Oryzias latipes: one gene and its partner. The protein of the gene in region 1 interacts with the protein of each later gene in a biochemical or structural test. Links are inferred from orthologs where the notes say so. Each region holds a gene or a part of one and is shown on either strand. Other genes may lie near its edges.

The links.
Region 2: the proteins of ADP-ribosylation factor 1 (region 1) and cyth2 are reported together in a solved structure, tested with the Homo sapiens proteins (3 studies listed by BioGRID and IntAct, with this or other methods). The link is inferred for Oryzias latipes from reciprocal best matches to the Homo sapiens genes ARF1 and CYTH2.

The regions. Positions count from the first base shown.
Region 1 is NC_019877.2:22,745,559-22,748,186, reverse strand, and holds part of ADP-ribosylation factor 1, read left to right. Parts: intron 1-1,965; coding exon 1,966-2,090; intron 2,091-2,628. UniProt on the Homo sapiens protein: Small GTPase involved in protein trafficking between different compartments. Modulates vesicle budding and uncoating within the Golgi complex. In its GTP-bound form, triggers the recruitment of coatomer proteins to the Golgi membrane.
Region 2 is NC_019874.2:19,306,204-19,310,474, forward strand, and holds the start of cyth2 (cytohesin-2), read left to right. Parts: upstream 1-1,438; 5' UTR 1,439-1,561; coding exon 1,562-1,628; intron 1,629-2,610; coding exon 2,611-2,761; intron 2,762-4,271. UniProt on the Homo sapiens protein: Acts as a guanine-nucleotide exchange factor (GEF). Promotes guanine-nucleotide exchange on ARF1, ARF3 and ARF6. Activates ARF factors through replacement of GDP with GTP.

The DNA of each region.
Region 1 (2,628 bases):
TCGTCAGCAACTATTAGGGCTATTTGAGTTTTTCCTGCCTAGAAAATCAACAGTTGGTGTAACAGTTAGGTTTCAGAGACAAACCTCCACGTCTGGTTTTCCTCTCTATATTTCTCTGTCAGGGCTTTTCTTTTTTATTTTGTCAATTTTAATATAAAAACAAACGTTTTTAAGCTTTTGGGAACGACATCACCTTAAAAGTAGTCTATTTTCACCATGGCAACAAATCAGTGTTGTTGTTTTAGGCCCAAATCGTCACGCTTAGATCCTGGGATTAGACTATCTGAGTTAACGTAAGTCATTTGAAAACAGAAGAATACATGAAATATGATAACAGTGGTCACCTGGAAAAGGATCTCAGCCAATCAAGGCTTCGTTTATGTGTTGTGTGTGTGGACTGTGTATGTGCTTAGCTGTTGAAAATATCGCAGGTCTAGCATATATGGGACTAATTCTTGTCAACTGCAGTGAGCATCCAGAGAGGCTCTGGAAAACTCAGCAATCCTCACAGGTTCTGGGTTTCCCATGGAGTTAAACCCTCCTGGCTCAGTATGTGTGGAGTCTGTAACCGTTCATCCAGACTCTCCTGGAAAAAAAATACATACTTGCATGTCTGATAAGCTTTGTTGATTTATTTAAAATAGAACTACATTTATATAAATGAATGACATTTATTATTTACGTAGCAATTTACAAAAGTGCTGTACGATAAAGGACTGAAGAAAGTTTAAAACTAGGCAAATTAAGAACACAATTCATAAAATTACTAATGCAATAAAATACATAAAAGATCAAAGTAGTGCAATAATAATATGTTCAGATATTTGTGGAAAAAAGATCCGTTAAGTCTCGGGTCAGCTGGAGTGACTGAACGAAACATCGGACACCAGCACAGGGTTTGTGCCGAGCGGCAATCAGACCAAGAGAAACACGCTCACAAGGGAAGAATGCACCAGTATCTTTAAAATCACCTGTAGGGTCAGAATTAAGCAGTTCAACAGTGAACAGCACTAAAAAATGTGTGTGTTGTCAAAGTTACTGTTGTTTAGTCACAGAAAACGGGCAAATAAAGAAAGTTTGATTCAGGAACTGTCTTTTTAGCAGCTAACCAGTTCCAGTTTGATGGAACTGATTCTAGTTGACTTCTGATCGGCTTGAAAGCTGCGTCCAGGTAGACGTTTGGACTCCCACGGCTCGCTGTTCACAGAGCTTTTCCTCTCAAGGCTCTTTTCTACACTTCAACCTGCTGTTGTGCTGCCAAATGTTTTGTCTTCCATTTTTAGTCCTTCACTCCTGATGAAGACTTTTCCTTTTGCTACACTTACCACAGTGGGAAATAAAATAAACCCACTCTAATTTATCATGTGCTGATCATTTTGATCTATTTTTTTTATGACAAGTACTTTTTGTTTGTTTGTATATTATATCGGGTAAAAAATTACCCGGCAAAAGTGATGCTGCCATTTTTATAGCCAAAGTGGTCCACGGTTAACTAGTAATACCCGGTAACCTAGCAACGAGTTAAACTGGACGTTAAACATCCTGAAATATTTTTTAGAAGCAAAGCTTTTGACAGAATGTCAAAGATTCCCGACTGTAACTTTGAAGTGTCACAGCTGTCTGACTGTATCTCAGCCGCGTGACATTCACGTGTTTTATCACGACACTCGAAAGTCTGTTTCACCGCCGCCTTGTGGTCACAGTGGCGCATGACGTCCAAATGACAAAGGTTGAAGCAAACGCGTGTGTTAAACCCAAAGACTCCAGTTCAAGAGTTTCTATTGGATCCAGTCAAAGATTTCAGAAGTCCTCCAACATTTTATGTGTTCGTCTGTAGAAATAGCATCGTTACAAAGAGGCAACCTCCTCTTTCAAAGCCCAGCATAAAGGTTTTGTAATGCAGGTTCGATTCCTCTGTCTGGCTGTGTCTTTCTGAGCCGGTGGTCTCTGCCGCTTTCTTCGCAGGGCTCATTTTTGTGGTGGACAGCAACGACCGGGAGAGGGTGAACGAGGCCAGGGAGGAGCTGTCGAGAATGCTGGCGGAGGATGAACTAAGGGACGCCGTGCTGCTCGTGTTCGCAAACAAACAGGTGAGGCCGGACGTCTGCGGCGTCTTCTGTGGCGTGAAGAACAGGCGGTAGCCGCATCTCCATGTTTTCAGGATCATTGTTTTGAGGAGCGATGAAACCTGTTTGTTTGAACTAGGGCTGCACGATATGAGGAAAACTTGCGATATGCAATAGTAGAGATTAATATTGCGATAACGATATAATTTGCGGTATATAAAAAAAATAGAAAAATGCCAAAAACATCATTCCCATTTCATTAGAAACAGTTTAAAATTACACTCCAAATGACCCTCATCGACATAGGTGACAAACATCTAACATAATAGGCCTCCATCTGATTGGTCAACAATGGGAAGGCGTCCATCTGATTGGTCAAAGCATAAAGGGATTTATTTGATTCGTTAAAAGCGTCAAGCTGCCATAAGATTGCTTTAACACATTTTGGGTTTACGATTTATTGCGATATTCGCAGTCTTTTGCGATATGCCTATTGCAGAGCTGGATATTGCGATAACGATAAATTTGCGGTATATTGTGCAGGCCTAATTTGAACGAAGGC
Region 2 (4,271 bases), on another chromosome or scaffold:
AACTTCTACAAAAGTAATTTTCTAAAAAGACTCTTTACAGTACTTGTTCAAAAATAATAAGGTTTTAATTTTTGTAAATCTTGTTTACATTCTTTGTTGGACTCGAGAATAAATCATCAGCATGTGCCATCGGATCTGTCAGTAAATAATGTGCCAACTGCTTGAATCATAATCAGCATACCACGCTGGGCCAAATCTTTATAGTAAGTCTTTAAATTGATGAATTTTTGAAATGTAAGTTCCTAGGTACCCTTTAGATAATGGAAACTGCAATATGTGTATTTTGCATTAGGTCTTAATGGGTTCAACTTCATTTCTGACATTGAGTCAAATTTTTGACACGTTTATTGCTTCACATTGCAGCTAGAACACTATACTAACCTTGTGCTTACATAGCTACATAATGTAAGTGCAGCATGTCAGGTTGTTCTTGTGAATTTGAATTATGTGAGAATCTGCACACACTTTAATTCTAAAATCTGCCAAACCTTTTTTAGTTCACATTGAAAGTCCGGCTATGAAAGCTTACTTTTCTAATCCTGTTGTTGTTTAGAGCCAGAATGGGGTTATAGTGTTAAACATACGTTTGGTCTGATTCCTTCCTTGACAATGCCAGTAAGATGTCTATAGTTTGCTGCTTGTAAAGAAATTGTAATTATTACTAAGCCAATGAAATCATATTAGAATGTACAGTTTTTAGCTCTGTTTTCAAATAAATGTAGCTCATCAATTTGTCTTTTTTTTGTCACACTTTGTCAATAAAATATGCAAGCCTTATAAGTGTGCATCACTTTGCCCTTCCTTAATTTGAACAGTTTACTTTTAAAGCATCTTTCATAGCCTCTTAGTTTGGAAAACAATCTGATCTAAACTCAATAGGTTTATGACTTTGACATGGACTCACTTGTGGACTCATAAGGTCCAAAGGACTTCATTTTGCGTTCCAGAGCCAACAGATGGTAGGCAGACTTTTACAGAGCTTTATCAGAAAGTTAGTAATTGACGTTCACACAGATTTTACAATTTACTCGTGAATCAAATTTTAAACACATTCAGTAATTGAATGTGGTATTTACCATTCTTCTACAATGTTCTAAAAATTGTTTACCTTATTTCAATTTTTGGAAAATACAGATTATGGCTTCAATGTATAAACTCCACAAATCAGTGTTTTTAAATGTTTCATTTATTTTAATTGATTTTTTTTGTATATTATCACAAGGCTTTTTTAAATTAAACCTGGCTTTTATTTACTAAGTCATACTTTTAATAAGGAATATTTACATCTCGACATAATATTTCTATTTTATTACGTATACTCATTCTGACCGTGTAAACAAAGCCGATAAACATGTTGCTGTCATTCTCCTTACACAGTCAAATCCAGAGATCATTATTTTGAAAAACATCTGACCGGAAGTACATCTCTACAAACTCAGTTACCACTTCCGGCGTTACCACCTTCTTTGTCTACGGCCCAGGATTTCGCTACCAGTGGTTGTTCAGTTTTCCTTTGATTTGAGAATATATTACTTTATACATCCCAATTTTTTTTACATTTATGACACTCGACTCTGATTTATTTATGCCTAAAAGTAAAGCGCCAAAAATGGATGACCTGGACTACAGTAAGTGGGGTTACTTTCGTTTTTTTGCCCATAATATCGTAGCTAAACGTAGCTAGTTGTAAAATATACATGAAGATAAACACGGCTTTACATATTTCCTTAAATCAAAGGAGTGAATTGTTTTATATAATCACGTAAACAACAAAACAAAGCACTGAATGAAATAAACAGCTACCTAAGACACAGTCAGTGTGTGTCGTTGATTGCCTCGTCGTGCTAGTTTAATAAAATTGACGTCGCAGATCTAAACTTGCCACTGAGTCGGGCTTTTAATGTGCATACAACAATATTTATTAAATGTATAGGCTTTTCTTCTAAAATGTAAACCTTATTTACACCAGGCTGTGGGCGTGGTTGGTGGTTCAAATAAATTATTTGTGAGACAGCTTCACGCTGCAGAAGATTGTGGATCATCTTTTTTGTAAACAACTTTATTGCAAATGAAAATGTTGACAACAAAGGTTTGTGGAAACAACTGGGTTTTATATTGAGATTCTTAGTTGGCTACAGAATTTTACCCGTAAAGAACAAGGTCAAGCTATTGTGACTTATTTCTATTAAACCTTTTCAACGCACAAATTACAATACCACCTTTATCATTCAGATGTTTTTGCACAGGTCTTTACTTGGGCCAGAGTGATGTGCAGTGGTTTTTGGTCATATTTACCCGGCAACCTCAGTAAAAAATTTCCTTATTTGCTTGGACTATTTAGTCAACAATTGAATGAATGGAAAACTTTTCCTTGAGTGGCATCATTGTGTGTCAAAATCCATCCATTAATGTCTGCCCCCCTCCCCCCATGGTCTTTTTTAAAATGTTTTTTTTTTTTATAATATCCCCCAGCTGATATTTCAGTTTCAATCAAGTCCCTTTTGTCTTACCACCACTTGAGCCGGTTGACCCAGATTGGTTAGGCATAGTTTAACCATTTATGATGTCCAGCTGCAGTAGTGGTGCGATCATTCTTCTCTTCCCCTGCAGTCCCAGTAGACTTGAGCCCAGAGGAGCGCTCTGAGCTGGAGGACATCCGCAGGAGGAAGGGCATCCTGCTGCAAGAGATCCAGAGGCTCAGGGAAGAATTAAGAGAAGCAATCTTAGAAGTAGAAGGTCTGGAGACTAGCACAGAGGGCAGGTAAACCAAAAAAGAGAAACCTGTGTTCTGCTGATGCATAATTATTTCTAGTGCTTATTGTCCATAAGTTGAAAGCTCATCTTTAATTCTAATTTGACTGGTGTTCTTGTTCCATATGACCCATTTCACCAGTTTATCTTAAACTACTGTATTATTTATCTGGCTTCACAGAGTCACATACCTTATTCTATCTTATACTTAAAGAACAATTCATGTAACTTTTGTCTTGATCAATTTGTTTTGTATTTAAAAGAAGAAAAAAGGAAGCAATACTTTCATAATTGCAACAATATTAACCTTTTTATTGTGTGCATACATAACACATGTAGTTCCAGGCATCCAAAGCAATGAAACTTTAGAACCATATAATTATAATTTACCGTATTTTCCGGACTATAAGTCGCCCTTTTTTTCATAGTTTGGCAAGGGGTGCGACTTATATTCTGCAGCGATTTATATTAGAAATAAATTGAAATAAATACATTGTTAACCCTCCTGTTATGTTCATTTGTGAGGAACAGAGATGATGTTCCTGGGTCAATTTGATGTATGAGGTATGTTAGGTGTTAAGAGTATGTTAAGTGACTTAGAGAATCAGCAAACCTTTTTTTACAGTAAGATCTTGAAGGCTAACAACATAATATTCTATTTTCCAATGATTTCATAGATTCAGAAATGCAATAAAAATGACAACGGTTTCTACAAATACAGGATGAAAACAGAGTATTAGTGTGCCAATGATGCTTCATGAAAGGAATAAATAAATAAGTATGAGAAAGAATTACGGTGAAATTATGAGATAAACAGTCTGCTATGATTGTGTCATATGAGGTTTTGCAAGTTATTAGTTCTTGGTCTCAGATAGGCCTGCACAATATACCGCAAATTTATCGTTATCGCGACATCAAGCTTTGCAATATGCATACCGCAAAAGACGGCGAAAATCGCAATAAATGGTTACCTTGACCCTTGTGCTATCCTAGGCACTTTAACATTGGGAGTTGGGTCATCTAGACCCATTAGACAGTGCACTGAACCTTTTTTCTTCAATTATTTGTGATCTTCACTGGTGTCTATGGATTACATGAAATCTTTCCACCTTTATCCACCTTTGTCATGCTAGGAATAACACATCAAAGTAAGGGGGGGGGGGGTCATCTAAGATAGCACAAGGGTTAAATGTGCTAAAACAAACTCATGGCCGCTTGAAATATTGAAAGATGAAATAAATACCTTAATGCATTTAACCAATCGGAAGGACCCGTTTACGCTGTTGATCAATCAAATGAGCCCTTTTATTTTTGATGTTTGCCTCCTATGTCGACGAGGGTCATTTGGAGTATAATTTTTAAACTGTTGCATTGAAATGGAAATGATGTTTTTGGTTGGTTTGATATTTGTTTATATACCGCAAATTATATCGTTATCGCAATATTAATCACCAATATCGCATATCGCGAGTTTTCCTCATATCGTGCAGCCCTAGCCTCAGATTTTGTCAAATAAATTT